2 linked regions of the Lonchura striata genome follow. The protein of the gene in region 2 binds, or shares a complex with, the protein of the main gene of each other region. Links are inferred from orthologs where the notes say so. Each region holds a gene or a part of one and is shown on either strand. Other genes may lie near its edges. The genes, in order: BRF2 and BDP1.

Region 1 (8,017 bases), on a different chromosome or scaffold from region 2:
TCCAGGGAGCCCTGGCTCACAGAGTCCTGCCCTGGGCAGCCCTGGCTCACAGAGTCCTTATCCAGGGAGTCCTGGCTCACAGAGTCCTGCCCTGGGGAGTCCTTATTCAGGGAGTCCTTATCTGGGGAGCCTGGGCTCACAGAGTCCTTGCCCGAGCACCTCTGGCTCCCAGAGTCTTGGCCTGGGCAGCCCTGGCCTGGGGAGTCCTGGCTCAGAGAGTCTTTATCCAGGGAGCCCTGGCTCCCAGAGCCCTGGCCCGGGGCCGTGTCCTGCTGGCCCTGCCCGTCCTGCTGGCTGAAGGCGCGTTTCAGCAGGAAGAGCCGGTGCTGCAGCAGGTCCCCGATGTGCTTCACCACCGTTCTCTTGTCCAAGCAGAAGGCACGCAGCCAGGAGAGCTGGGAGGCCATTCCCAGCAGGATGTCCAGCAGCTCGGCCAGCCGGAGGTGGGCCGGGGGGGGCAGGTCCACCCCTGCCAGGCGGCAGAACCGCGCCAAGGGGCAGCGCAGGCGCGGGCCGGGCCGCAGCGACTGCCAGGCCAGGAAGGCCGCGGCCGTCACCAGGGGCACGGGGTGCCGGCCGGTCACCAGCCACGTCTCGCTGGCCAGCTCCACGATGGCCAAGGTGCGGGCCAGCAGCTGCTCCTTGTCCTCCAGGAAGGGCGCGGGGACGCTGGCCGTGGGCTGCACCAGCCGGAAGCTGCGGGGGCGAAGGGGCTGTGCTCAGGGGTGTGGGATTTTTTAAATCAGAGGGGTTTGGGAGTGTTGTAAAAGGCAGGCTTTAGAGACAGCAGGATGGTGATTAGAGCTAAGCAGTAGCTATAAGATTTGTCAGCAGAACAATTATACAAGAAGTAGAAAGAAAGGATAAATAGAGCAATGGTCTGTGTATTAACACTTGGGTAGAATAACTCTAAGTTGTAGAAAAGTATCTCTGGTGAGATATTAAGAAGTTTTAAGCTTAATAATGGAGCTCTGTGCATTGTATCTTAAGGCTTATAAGTAAGTATTGTATTTGAAACCAGGAAGCATTATTTTAACCAAAGGTACGTGTGTTTATGGTGGTTAGGTAAAACTACTGTCATTATGTTTTTGTTTTGTGTGATTGGTCAAAAAGCTTTTAAAGCAAATTGTAATATTAAGTTCTTAGTCTGCTGCCTAGGATGTGAGCTGCTGGCACCTTCCCATTGCCATAATCATGTAATGAGATTGATGCTGGGAAATAAACAGCTCGAGATGTGTTCCACAGCAGTCCCGTCCCGTTGGTGATTTGTGCACAGCCCCCAGCCAGCGATAAGGGGGAGCCTCGGGGACAAACACACCCTGCTCCTGCCCTGGCTGCCACTCCTGGACACCAGGAGCAGTTTTTTATGGGAAGGGTTCTCTGGGGGAAGGGGTGGAGTCCCCATCCCTGGAGGTGGCACTCCGTGCTCTGGGCTGGGTGACAAGGTGGGCACCGGGCACGGGCTGGACTCAACAGCTTCAGAGATTCTTTCCAGCCCCAGAGATCCTGGATCCCATGATCCATGGTGCCCCCGAGCCCCCTCTGCCCTCTCCACACTGAGAATCACAGCCCAGGTGTGACATGGAGGGACAAAAGCCAGCCCAGCCTGAGCACACACCTGTGCCACAGCTCAGCCCTGCCCACGGCCACACCCCAGCCCCTCCATCCAGCCAGGCTAAACAAGGGCCCCAAAGCCCCTCTCACCTGTTCAGGTGCGTTGTCACCAGGTCTGCCAGGCTCAGGGCGGGCACCGAGAGCCCCAGCTCCCGCTGCAGGCTCAGGAAGACGCTGGCAAACAGCTCCTGCCGGGCGTAGAGCAGGGAGCACACGGTGCCCATGGTCAGGGGCCAGCGGTGCTGGCGGCACGCCACGAACACGCAGCAGCCTCCCAGCAGCTCCTTCTTCTCCAGGCTGACCAGGTGGAAGGCGGGGAGCTGCAGAGCCCTCTGGAAGTAGGACACGGCCATTTCCTCGAATACAGCCGGCAGCTGCAGCACCTTGCAGAGGTCCTGGACCCTCCGGATCCCTGCGGGGTCACACTCGGAGTGAGGAAGTCCAGCAGACAACACTCACCCAGCCCGAACTAAAGCCCCTCCCAGGCCCTCAGGGCAGGCAGCACCAAGTGCCCTCCCCCGGCTCAGCTCCAGGGGTTTGGGGCACTTTTTCACCACTAGAACCAGGTGAAACAACTGGAGCGGCAGGCAGAGAGGAGGGGGGGTCAGGAGCTGCTCTCACCTCGCTGCAGGCAGCGGCTCAGCTGCTCCTTCTGGCCAGTGCTCTGGGAATAGGCGACCTCTGGAAAACAGGGGTGGATCAGTCAGTCCTGAGGGGAATCCAGGCACAGAGACATGGATCTGGGGCCAGCAGATGCCCACAGAACCGGACTGCAACGACCAGAACTGTCTGAGGGCGCTGAGTTAGAGCAGCACAGGTAAAAGCGAGCTCTTGGATCTCCTCTGAGCTGGGAATTCCCTCCAGACAGAGCCAGGCAACGGCCTCGGGGCTGCCCCGCTGCCTTTAAAGCTCTTCTAAGAGATTTCAATGGGATTCTAATAATCTCTTTTGACAATAAGAGATCCTCCAGTTTAAATTCAAAGCTCATCACCGGCTCCAAGCCAGACCCTGTCCGGGAAGTGCTGCGGGTGTGCCCCGGGCTGGAAAACCCCGCTGGTGCTGGGGGATGGAGGGAGCGGGAGCGGCCGGCCTGAGCCGCGAGTGCCCGGCACGGCCCCTCCGAACACAGCTCGGGGAGCGCTTCGCTTCTCGCACCGGCTCGGAAAGGCCCAAACGAGCCGCGGACCGTCGGTCCTGCACCCCCACCCCGAGCGCGGACGCTCCCGGGTCCGGTGCCGCACCCCGCAGATGCTCCTCGTCGGTGTAGGTGGTGGTGAGGAGCCCCTCGGACAGGACGCAGCCGCAGGAGGCGCAGACCAGCTGCTGCTGCGCGTAGTGCGCGTCCTCCACCAGCGACGCCGACCCGCACTCGGGGCACCGGCCCCGCGCCGCCATCGCCGCCGCCGCGCTGGGGGAGCGCTGGGGCGGGCGCACCGCCAACAGCCAATAGCGGCGCGGCCCGCCCCGAGCCCACCAATAGCGGCGCGGCCCGCCCCGAGCCCACCAATAGCGGCGCCGCCCGCGGTCCGTCCCGGCGCCCGCCCGGCCGAGGCGCCGCCGGCGCGCGCTGCGTTCCGGCCGGGACGGCGGCCCCGGGCAGCGCGGGGAGCGGCAGCGGGGGGGCCGCGTCCTCCCGGCGGGGAACGGGAAGCAGCGCGGCGCGGAGCCCCAGGGCCCCCATGGCACCGGGGGGGCCGCGTCCTCCCGGCGGGGAACGGGAAGCAGCGCGGCGCGGAGCCCCAGGGCTCCCATGGCACCGGGGAGGCCGCGTCCTCCCGGCGGGGAACGGGAAGCACCGCGGCGCGGAGCCCCAGGGCCCCCAGGGCCCCCTCCCGTCCGCGGCGCAGCGCGAGGCCGGCGCTGCCGTGAGGGCAGAAACTCCCGGCGCTGCAGCTGCGGACCCGCCCGTCCGTCAGGCTCCCCCACCCCGCGAGGGGTTTGCAGGCAGCACCGGATGGCGCAGGGATGACAGCAGGCCGGAACGCCGGGAGCAGGATGAGCAGAGGCACGAGGAGGGGATAAAACCCTTCTAAACTCCAGAGCAAAGACACGGTGGCCAGAGCACTGCGTTTGAGGTGTCTTTATTGTAGTGTTCCGTAAAACCAAAAGGTGTCTAAAAACAGCAGCTGGGCTAAAAGCAGGGAGTACAAACAGGGAACATGCATTGGATCCTTCAATAATAAACAATACATTTGGTTCTTAAGGCCCTTGAGGATGTAAAATGCCAGTCCCCTCACACCAAAGGCTTTAACGAGTGTTGACAATATAAACGAGGCTGGAGGGCTGGGCGACGTTTTTGGGGCTGGGCAAGTGGAGAACTGTGAGCCCCCCGTGCCCCAGCCATGGGTCTGCTCAGGGAGAGGTGCCACAGCTGCAGCCCCTGGGACAGAGGAGCCCTGGGGAGCTGGCACCCATGGCTGGGGCTGCCACGGCACCCACGGGAGCTGGCACCCACGGCTGGGGCTGCCACGGCACCCATGGGAGTGACACCCATGGCTGGGGCTGCCACGGCACCCACGGGAGCTGGCACCCACGGCTGGGGCTGCCACGGCACCCATGGGAGTGACACCCACGGCTGGGGCTGCCATGACACCCATGGCTGGGGCTGCCGCTGTCCCAAGCATTAAGGCTTCGTCTCTGCTAAGAGCATAACATTATTTCTTTTATGAACAATAATATTATTTATTGCTTTGGTTCTGTGCAGGTCACTCTTCCCAGCGGAGAAAAAATCTAAAATACAAGTTTATCAGTGAGGTACAGGATCCTCTGTCCAGAGATCCACAGAGGCACGAGGAGGAAACAAATCAATCCTTCATCTTCCTCGCTCGAGAAGGCACAGGAGGCAGCAGCAGCTCCAGCAAGGCCAGGCACAGCACTCAGAATGAAACCACCACCAAGGCTGCCTTCACTCAGAGCAGAGGGCACAGCAGAAAGCAGAGAACGCCCTCACTGTTCAAATAACACTAAAATGAGACAAAAGTACCTGAAGTCTTGCAAGACTCAGCTCCTAAGGCTTGTTTGAGGTCAGGCTGCCCATGAGGGACAGCTCTGCCAGTAAAGCTCCAGACTTTGGTAGCAGGGATAACCAGGATAAAAATGCCATTACAGAATTTCTTTGATTTTTCTAATAAATGTTTACATCTCTGTGCAAATCTATCAAACTGCTCCTCACTACATAATACAGCATTTGAGATCTGCAGTGGTGTGTGACATTGTAAGCAGACTGCTCACAGGGTGAGAGTCCTTCCAGCTGCTCCAGTCCCTCAATAAAGTGCTTTCCTGTAGAGAAATGGAGTTAGAAACTCACCCCTGAGCCAGGAGTGACCCAATAACCCAACAACTTCCAAAGGCAGGAGTGTTTATTTCCATAGAATTCGGGCTGGAAAGCTTGAAGCTTTGCTCCTCATGAAGCTTTGGTCCTTTGCAGGGCTCTGTTGGTTTTCCAGTTTCCCTCTAAGCCTTTCATGGACTCTTCCTGCCCTGGCAAATCCCAGGGGTCCCAAAAGGCATCTGCTGTTTTGGTCTCTGCCAAGAGCTCAGCAAACAAAGCTCTGTTCAGTCTGCAGCAGGGGAAGCTGTGCTGGCTGCTCCCCCAGCCTGACTGAGGGGATGGGGAGAACTCCCCTGAGCCCACCAGGACCCCCAGAGCTCTGGGCTGTGCAGCACCCCCAGCCTGACTGAGGGGATGGGGAGAACTCCCCTGAGCCCACCAGGACCCCCAGAGCTCTGGGCTGTGCAGCACCCCCAGCCCCCTCAGCCACTCAAGACTCTCCTCCCCAGGGAGCAGCAAGGAGCCAGAGCAGGGGGGAGCCCCAGCCCTGCCTGCACTGACAGCAGGAGCACTGCAAGGCTCCTCACCTTGGGAGGGCCCTCAAGGTGAGCCCCAGCTCCAAACCCCAAGGAATTTCTGTTCCCTCCGTGCAGTGTGAAAGGGAAATGGTCACAGAGCTCCCACGGGGCACAAAGTGGGAGAGCAGAGCACAGGGCAGTCTCTGCCCGCTCTGAACAGCCTCCAGAGCAGAAATTTAAGACACTAAGAGCAAAACTTCTGATTTAAAATGTACCTCAGGCCTAAATCCATTGGTGCCATTCCTGTGGTAGAAACGTACCGTGGACCTCAATGTCTCCTACTCCAAAAAACCTGTCAACTTTCCCTTGAAGGACTCTTGGGAATGTCCACTCGATGAGATGAACTGAGATTTGGTCAGCTTATGGTCAACTTTCATTCCTTTCAAATTACAGCCCAGGTCCGAAGCTGGGCCATCTTTGGACTTATCCAGTGTAGTTAATTATTATTTTAAAAACAATCAAATCCTCAAGCTCTACTGTACAAGGATTCATATTGCACTACAACTTCAGATGTGGAAAAAAAAGTAACTGATCTCTAAAAGCTGCTACAAAACAAAACCATTTAAAAAAATCATCCTAAAGGATCATCAGCGCCTTGCTGGGAAGCAAAACACAACAAAAACCCTCCTCCTTCCCATCACAACCAGTCTTTGGATTAATGCCTGACCTCCCCAAATAATGGGAAGGAAAAAAAAAATAAATATGGTAAGGTGACTGCATGACAACACCTGATGGAACTATTAATCAATCAAGGGTTGCTCAAGGCAGAAACAGGAAAAGGTCATTTTCTGTGAGCAGCACACCCAGCACCACCAGCTCCTCACCCTCCTCTGGGGGAATTCAGTCCTTGCCCACCGACGCCCCCAGACCCTTCACATCTTCCCAGCTTTTCTGTTGCCAGACATGGAAACACGGAGGATGTTTGGGGTTTCTTCCATGACTCTGACAAGCAGGTTGTCGATGTAGTCCTCGAGCTCCCGCACCTGGAGGTCCTTCCTGGTAATGGTATCCTTCTGTTTCAGCACCAGCTGGATCAGCTCATCGTGTGTCAGCTGAGCATAGGCATAGGCAGGGTCTGAGGGATCGTATTTCTTGGGAGGGAGGGAGGGAAGGCAGGGTCAGAGCAGGCACAGGACATTCCAAACCAGACACACAACACACAGACCAGCACGGTGACAGCTGCTGCCAAACAAACCTGGTAAAGCTTAAAACAGCTGCTTCAGTGCACTCTGGGAAAGCCAAATTCATGGTAAACAGCACAAAATGCCCACCCAGGCCTTTGCTGTTTCTTCCCATTCCTTTGGAAAATCTGGTTTTAAACCTCACACAGCATGAGAGGTACTGGGCAGCTTCTGCTGATTCCTCCAGCTCCCAGAACACTGCCCAGGCAGGGAGAGTGAGCACAACAGGCCCCCGTGGGGCATCGCACACAATTTAGGTGGAATCAGAACACCACAACACCCACTGCAAGTTTTCAACCCCCTTGAAACAGCAGCGTGGCAGTTTGAATCACTGAACTCCCATCCCCTCCCCTCTCACCAGAAGGAGGCACTGCTGTTATTTCAGTTCTAACTTCCCTATTTCCCAAAAAAACCCTGACAGACCATAAGGGGAGCCGTGATTTTCCCTGCTGACCCGGGGATGCTCCCAGCCTTTCGGATCAGGGAAGCTGTGCCTCAAGCCTGGAGGTCTCTCTTGAGACCAGGATTATGCTGAGAGCTCCTCTCAGTCCCAATGCTGACCCAGCTGCACGACTGTGCTCCAAGGAAGTGGCTGTGCCTGAGAAGCGCCCCCAAAAACACGAGCCCGGCTCTCTTATAGGTCAGTCTGCAAGAAAATAAGCATTTAAGGAACGATCCCACTCTTGAGGGCTGACCAAAAGGATGTTCCTGGCCCAGCTATCTGGAATACACAAACTCTTCAATTAAATCAAAGCTTGGGCAGTCAAAGTGCCACTTCCCTCCATACCTTCACACTCATTTCCAGCAGCTTTTCATTCATGGTGCTGATGACATTCAAGTTCTTGCTCTGAGGCTTGTTAGCCATGGCATTCATTGGCTTCACAGGATGGAGTCTGCAACAGGAAAAAAAGGGTCCTGCTGTTCAGGCAGAAGAGGTAACAGCAGCATGACATAGATCTTTAGATTGAGAACAAATACAGCAAGAAATTGGGGACAATTCCCTCCCTGCTCTATGTCCTGACAGAAAAGAAATTCAGTTTAAAGAAGACAAGGTATTTCTAAGCCACAGGGGTTTTGTAAGTATTTTCCAGTTCTCTACTATCTTTATTGACTTAAGGCATTGGAGATAAAGCAGCAGCAGGAAGGAAAATACATCCTCTGTGTGTCATGGAAGAAAAGCCAGGTCAGGCTACACGAGGAGACAGAACACGGGGCAGCTACTCTCATCCCTCAGAAACTGGTATTTCAGCCTGACTTTCCTAATCAGAACATAGTTGTGATCTTACAACATACCAAATACTTCTGCTGTCCTGAGACAAGTGCTATGCCATGTCCAATCTGAACTGACATCACCAGCTGTGAGGAAGTGCTGT
Region 2 (7,426 bases):
ATGAAGAAGTTGTAGATTACAAAGTGGTCTCCCCTAAGTCTCCTCCAGGCTGAACAGACCAAATGACCTCAGCCACTCCTCATCTGACTTCACCTCAAGGCCCTTCACCATCTTTGCTGCCCCTCTTTGGATGCTCTCTAACAGCTCAATGTTTTTCTTATACCCAAAACTGCCCCCAGCACTCACTGCCTGTGAGGCAGCCCCACGGCAGAGCAGAGGAGGACAATCTTGCCTGGCTGTGATGCTTTGCCTGATGCACCCCAGGACACAGGTCGCCCTTCTGGCTGCCAGGGCACTGCTGACTCATGTTGAGCTTGCCACTGACCGGGACCCTCAAGTCATTTTCCTCCAGTCATTTGTTCCCCAGTCTGTCCACACATTCAGGGTTGCCCCATCCCAGGTATAGAATCTGGCACTTTCCCTTTTTGAACTTCATATGGCCAGTGTTTGCCCAGCCCTCTTAATTTGTTGAGGTCTCCCTGCAGGGCCATTTTGTATCATGTACCAAACTTACTTAATATGCCTTCGAAACCAGTGTCCAGTCATTTATGAAGCTGTTGAAGAGCAGAGGATGGAGCCCTGTGGAACCCCACCAGTGACAGGTCACCAGTCTGATGTCACCCATTCATTGTAACCCAACCCATGAACCTGTTGCTCACACATCACATGATGCGTTCATCCAGGTGTGTGCTGGATGTTTTGTCAAGAAGGAAGGATAGTGTGAGAGCCAATATGGAAAGTTCTACTGAAATCCAAAAGGATTACAGGAACTGGTTTCCCCAGGTCAGCTAGGTGGGCTACCCTGTCAGAAGGCTATATGGCAAAGACCTATTTTTAGACCATGAAACTAGATCAAAGTGCCTTTCAGAGTCACACCAATACCTAGTTTTGAAACTTAAAATTATATTACACTGATGCACCTGTTAAATTACGAACACAAAAGTCTTTTACAAATCTGCTGAAACAACAACAGTAGCATCTAAGTGAAAAATCATAAAAATTTCTTCATTTTAAAAAAATCAGATAACAAAACATCCAGTAAGATGATCCCTGTAACATAAACATTTTATAAATAAAACTTGAAAGAATGGCACTCTTGAAACAAAATGCAAAACAAGTAAAGATGTAAAATACCAATTGAATAAAACATGGTATGGGTTTCCTAAAGACATGCCATGCCAACTAGTCTGACACCTGAATTTCCAACCACAGAAACAGACAACATTAACACTGTTTCATCATACTGTCATAATGGGCAACCTTCAACTAAAAGAATAAAAGGATTTATGAAAGACTCAAACCCAACTGTAAAAAAGAAGTGTGAATGTTGTTCTGAAGAACAATTATCAGATTAAGGACATGTCCTGAAACACTGATCTGTACTACCTTTGGTGGGGACAGAATTAACTTCCTTCACAGTAGCTCTGATGTTGCTGTTTCAGATTTGTGACACAACAGTGCTGACAGCACACCCATGCTTTCAGCTAATGCTGAGCAATGATCATGCAGCACCAGGGTTATTTCTCACAATGCACCATGGCTGTCCATTCTGGGAATCAGAAAGAAATTGGGAGGGGGCACAGCCAGGACAGCTGATCTCAGAAGACTGAGGGCTATCCCACAGCATATGGCATCATGCTCCTCAGTAAAAGCTAGGAGAAGAAGAAAGAAAGGACATTTGGAGTTATGGCATTTGTCTTCCCAAGTACCTGTTATGAGTGATGGATCCCTTCTTTCCTGGAGACAATTAAATACCTGTGGGTAGTGGTGACTGAATCCCCAGTTCTGCTTTGCTTACATGCCCAGGTAATTGAACTGTCTTTATCATAACACACCTTTTCTTGAACTTTTGCCGTTTTGATTTTCTGCCCATCCCACCAGGCTGGGAGGGGCAGGGGTGTGGGGAAGCAAGCAATAAACTGTGCGGGGTTTAGTAACCAGCTAGGCTTAACCTACAGCAGAGAGGTCCTCAGGGAGAGCCAGTCCTAAGGCCAACTTTACCATGTGCTTCCATCACATTAAAAAGCCCTTAAAAACCTCTAAAAATAGCAAAAAAAAAAAAAAAAAAACCCACAAAAAAACCGCAAAAAAACTAACTCAAAAAAAACCAAAAGGAAAGTCCTCCCTTGCCAATTCATAAAGAAATGAACACAAAAGAGAAAATGCTGTTGGAATGCAAAATCAAACTCATCTGGTTACAGAGCACAAAGAATTTTTGCTGCACACAGCAAATCATGGCTCCTGGCTGCTGTGGAGCTAGAAGTAAGGAGTATCGGACCACACTGGGTTCCTCCTTTGCAGTCTTCACTTACAGAATCACAGGAGCCATTTTGCTGGAAAACACCTCGAGATCGTAGAGTCCAACCTATGACTCAACACCACCTTGTCAACCAGACCACAGCACTACATGCCATGTCCAGTCTTTCCTTAAACACCTCTAAGGATGGTGACTGCACCACCTCTCTGGGCAGCCCAATGCAATGTTATTCCAAGCACCTGCTGCACAACTGCAGTGAAGAAACGGCGGTTTCTTAGTCTACGAAGGCGCCAAACAACATTGTCTGACAACCCTGGACACGCCGTCATCGGGCACCGACCGTACGCGTCTTGCACGAGGTCTTCAGGCCGAGCCAGCGCCCTGTCATAGCACTGAAACCAGGCGGCGACGGGCCACGACAACCGGCGCTACGCAGAGCCACCGCCAGCTCCGGGGATGCGCCGGGTCCGGCCCTGCACAGGCCCGTCCCGCTCCCGGGAATCCGCGGCCCAGTGCCGCCGGCGGCCCCACACACTGCCCTGCTAGGGCGAGCTCGGCGGGACTCACCTCTCTTCCCGCCGCGCGCCCGTCGATTCCGCCGCGGTCCCTGCTCCGTCCGCCGCCGGGGTGTCCGAGCCTGGGGGTTCCGCCGGCTCGGGGTCCACCGCGCCAGCGGCGGCGGCTCTGCCCGGGGGGCGCACGTTGGGCCGCACGGTGAGACGGGCCCGCCGGAACATGGCGGCGGCTCCGGGAGACGGGCGCGCCGGGCGCTCGCGGGAGACGCGCCCGCCCGCGAGCTCGGCGGCGTCAGCAGCGCGCGGCGGCGAGGGCCCGCGGGTGCCGCGAGCCCGGCCGGCTCACGGCGTGCCGCCCCGGCGGCGCGCCCCGCACCGTCATCAGCCCGCACCCATCGCGAGATGAGGGGCGGGAGGCGGAGCCTCTACGGGGAAGCAGTAACGGCGCCGTAGCCGCCTGTAAGGCCCCAGCAACTGCTCAGCCGCGTGGCCCCAGTTCAGCCGGCTCCCAGCAGCTGTCCAGGCGCCCGCTCTGCCCCCAGCCCAGGCTGCCACACCACAGCCCCCCCCCCCCCTTCCCCCTCACACTCGGGCCCGGCAGGACGCGCAGCACGAGCCTCGCAGGGCTCCTGCCCGCGGGGCGGGGTCAGCGGTGCGCGTCCCGCTGATTGGGCCGGGCCCGCGCGGCGCCGTGACATCACGGCCAGCGAGGCGCCATAAGGTGCGGCGGCGGCGGCGCCGCCTCAGACCGCTGCGGTGGTAGGGGCGGAGGAGGGTCGAGTTTGGCCGGTGCTAGCGGTCGGAGGCGTAGCGGCGCTGCGCGGCCTGAGCGTCTCGCTATGACCCGTGAGTACTGGGGAGCTGTTTAGGACTGTCGGGTGGCGAAGTGGGCGACAGGACTTGAGCCGCCCTCCTGGTCGGTTCCAGCTGTGGGGCGCGACGCCGAGGGCGGTCCGGCTGGGGGTCGTGCCTGGGCCGCGGTATGGAAGTCAGCCGCTGTGTGAGGCCAATGTCGCGTCCGGCTCTTTGCGGACTTGGCGTCCCACCAGCGAAATGTCGCCTGTAGCGAGTGCGTGAGGAGGAGTTTTTTTCCCATGTCCTGCTGCCTTCCGAAGCTGGAGGGGAAAACATCCTCCTCCGCCTTCTGGCGTGTCAGTGGAGGCGGGACCGGGGGGAGAAATTAAGGTAATGTTGGGCTGAAACAACAGCCACACTCCATTTCATTTCCGGCTGCCGCCCAGTCTGAGAATAGAGGGCTTTACTATCTGTGCTGAATATTGAATACTATGCTGCTTTAACCTGTGGTGGTTGAGGCTGTTGTTGAAAGGGCAAGAGCGCTCGGTGAATCGCCACCGTGCTGAATGCTGACCAACAGCAGTGTTCGCACACCCGCTCTGAAATGGCGGAGAGGTGACCCAGGATGCTCTGGCTCCCCTGGCTGCGGGGAGTGCTCCTGTGCCTTCTGCCTGTTATGTCTGGCGGTACAGGAAATCCTCGTGTTTAATTTTGGTTGTGCTTTCACATTCATTTGAAAAAAACCAATTTTGAGGCTGTGCTTTCAATTCATCTCGAAAATACACGGTTATGAGGGCATACTGCTGCTGAAGACCTGTAACACAAAGTTTGTGCATAGAACGTAATAAAGAAGCACATTTAGGATTCTTCGTGGCGTTTTTCTTCTCCTGAAGTTGGAAGAGCAAGGACAGGTTGAAGTAAGGTCTATGTTTTGCACAAGCAGGACAGGATGGGATGGTTGAGAAGGAATGTATAGAAATGTATAAGCAGGAAGAGTGCACTGCTCTTTTTGTGGCAGTTCAAGCTTGAATTTCAGGAAGCTGAATTGTGTTCTGTTAGGACAATTTCATAGAATATTTAGCTTGATATTACAGAATGTAGGAAACGCCAGTGGTTCCCTTGAAGGTAGGGACACTTATGCAGCATCCCAGATGAAGTAATGGGGCCAAATAGTCCTTGGCAATGTTTACTTGGAAGCACTTATGGTAGAAGTAAGTTTTTCTTCAGTTTTTTGGTATTCCGTGGTTTGTATGCATTATATATTGCTCAGCTTTTCTACCTTCTCTGCTTTGCTGTGCTACCTGCTTTTCAGTGGTACAACTGAGTTCTGTTCCTAAATTTAAAACCTTACCGTGTGTAAGGAAAAACTCTACATAGCCCATGCTCACTATTTGCTTGAAAACAAGGAAAAATAGGAGTTTAAGAGTGGAAATTAACTGCTCATAAGGAAGTGTTTGTCTTTGAAGGTAATTCTGGCTTTAGCAGACTGTTTTTATTTTGTTTCTGTTTTCTTCATGATAAAAGAAGATACTTCTCGTTTTGGGGTGATTTTTTGTTTTGGGGCTGTTGGTGGTGTTGTTTTTTTTTTTTTTTTTTTTTGGGTTTTTTTTTTTTTTTTAAGCACTGTAGAAAAGTTCTTTCATTGCTCCCCAGTCCTTCATATAACGTTCTTGCCTCCTGAGCACCACAAATCTCAGGAGCCATTTATGGCCTGGAATGTGTCATCTGCTCATGAGTCATCAAGTTCTAATCAACACTAGTACTGCCAGAGACAGCTGGTTTGCTTCAGTCTCTGAACAGACAGCTGCCCTTCTTCTAGATGGACTTTGGGGACAGGATGCTAGTGAGGATCGTGAGTAGAAGTTGTCTTAGTTCTCTACCTTTTCCAAGAGGTAGTACTTAATGTCCTGTCACAGACAAAAGTTATCTTCCAATACAAGAGCATCTTTTGGGAAGCAGCAGTCATACAGGACTGTTTTTACTTGAGCTTCTGGCATGTCTTATCAGGCAGTCCATAGGCTCTTGTGGAGAATGCACAAACCCCTGCTTCTGCAGAGTTCATCTTGAGGTACCTTTGCTCAGAAATGGTGTGGGTACAAAGTGGTGGATCATACCAGCAGGTTGTTGTTGTTTAAAAGTGGCCTATTCCTAAGAAGCAGTGGTAGACCAGAAATGACAGGCACCTCAAGGCTGAGATTGCTGCCTTTGAGACTGAAAGATGGCCCAGACAGTCTTAAAACTAATTTAGAGAGACAAAAAATTATGAAGAGAGGGAATTGTAATTTTTGAGTATAAAAGAATGTGATTGTGTTAGTTCAACAGAACAAATGATTATGTGTAGCATATCTGGAACACTGTCACTCCAAAAGAACTAGAAGAAGTAGTACCAAGCCAGTGAACCAGGTCTGGCAGGTGCAAAATAGAGCAAAGGAAGGGAATACTGAGGAGAGATTGCCAGCTAATGCAGAAGAGTTTGCAGTCTGTGGCCATTGCCTGAAGACCCTAAGTATTTAGATGGAGAGTCGATAATTTGATGTTGTGCCCTCGGGAACTTAGTGTGATCAAAGAGCTTGCTTTCCTCTTGTTGATAGTTAGTTGTGGGGAAAGCTGTCTGTTCCCTGAAGAAGTGTCTTCTCTGCTGACAGTCATGTGGGTTTGTGTCTTGATATGCATAAAGAAGTAATGTTACTCTTCTCACTTTTGTTGGAAGTAATGCCACCACCATCCAGTTGCTAAGGCCCAGGCTTATGTTCTGTACTGTATTTCAAATTAAAAAAACCTTTTGAGGTCATCTCTTCAATAGTATTTGAGTGCAGTCAATTTCAATGCTGTTCTTTCAGTCTAAAATAATTTGTAAGCTATATTGAATGCTGGAATGTGTTTCAGAGTGGATGACTTGTCTTTGGATGATTTTGTCCAGCCTATTGGTGTGATGGTTTTCCTTCAGCCTTTTATGACAAACTACATTTTGTTTCTGTAAGGAATATTAGAATTTTGGTAATTTCTTAAACATGACATAGAATTGAAAAAGTAACAACTATGAGCCTTTAATTTCTCCTGTTGTACACTGGGAGAGGACACCAAGATAGAAGATATGGCCATACCAGCTCTATACATTATGCCAAACTGCACTGCCTTTACAACAGACTTTTATACAAGTACATTGTGTGGGAAAAAACAAGTGGTAGTACTTGTTTATATTATCTTGCAGGTGGGAACCAGCGTGAACTTGCTCGCCAAAAGAACCTGAAGAAAACTCAGGAGATCCACAAAGGCAAAAGGAAAGAAGATAGCTTGTCTGCTTCTCAGAGGAAACAGAGGTAAGGTCTAGAAAAATTGAGTAAATGTTTAGGCTGAAAAAGGAGAGAGGGACATGGGTGAGAAAGAATCCAGTGTCTTAGCTGACACAGCATTTGAATGCTTTGTTTTTATTTGTTGGCTAATCACTTGCCAGAGCATAAACTGTGGATTAAATTTTGCTGTATCTGCTATTAAACAGATGTATTTTTATTACATCCTGTAAAGCTTTCTCATTTTTTTGACCAGCTTTTTGCCTACTGCAAACAGGAAAAGATTGTGTAATGCTTTCTTGAAGATATTTGATCCATTATGTCCTTTACTTCTAAAATCAAAATAATTATATCAGGTCCACTAATCAAGTAAATTGTCTGCCTCATGGAATACATGCACTAAAAAACCAGGGTAATAAAAAGACTGTTTGTGGCTGAGAAATTCTTTTTTTCCTTTTTCAGGTGGAGTTTACTAAATGGAGGGAACTCTGCTTAGAAAAATTGTGAGCCAGTATCTGATATCCAGCTGTTTTTTTCTTCACAGGGATTCTGAAATAATGCAACAAAAG

Evidence for each region.
Region 1: BDP1 (region 2) and BRF2 share a complex: the UniProt entries of both Homo sapiens proteins name them as parts of the TFIIIB complex. The link is inferred for Lonchura striata from reciprocal best matches to the Homo sapiens genes BDP1 and BRF2.

The regions. Positions count from the first base shown.
Region 1 is NC_134634.1:4,325,809-4,333,825, forward strand, and holds the start of BRF2 (transcription factor IIIB 50 kDa subunit), read right to left. Parts: upstream 3,022-8,017; 5' UTR 3,010-3,021; coding exon 2,856-3,009; intron 2,296-2,855; coding exon 2,236-2,295; intron 2,027-2,235; coding exon 1,705-2,026; intron 697-1,704; coding exon 1-696. Other genes in the region: RAB11FIP1 (rab11 family-interacting protein 1), read right to left, coding at 6,336-6,554, 7,432-7,537. UniProt on the Homo sapiens protein: General activator of RNA polymerase III transcription. Factor exclusively required for RNA polymerase III transcription of genes with promoter elements upstream of the initiation sites.
Region 2 is NC_134642.1:47,132,293-47,139,718, reverse strand, and holds the start of BDP1 (transcription factor TFIIIB component B'' homolog), read right to left. Parts: upstream 3,015-7,426; 5' UTR 2,995-3,014; coding exon 2,825-2,994; intron 1-2,824. Other genes in the region: SERF1A (small EDRK-rich factor 1), read left to right, coding at 3,612-3,618, 6,779-6,887, 7,402-7,426. UniProt on the Homo sapiens protein: General activator of RNA polymerase III transcription. Requires for transcription from all three types of polymerase III promoters. Requires for transcription of genes with internal promoter elements and with promoter elements upstream of the initiation site.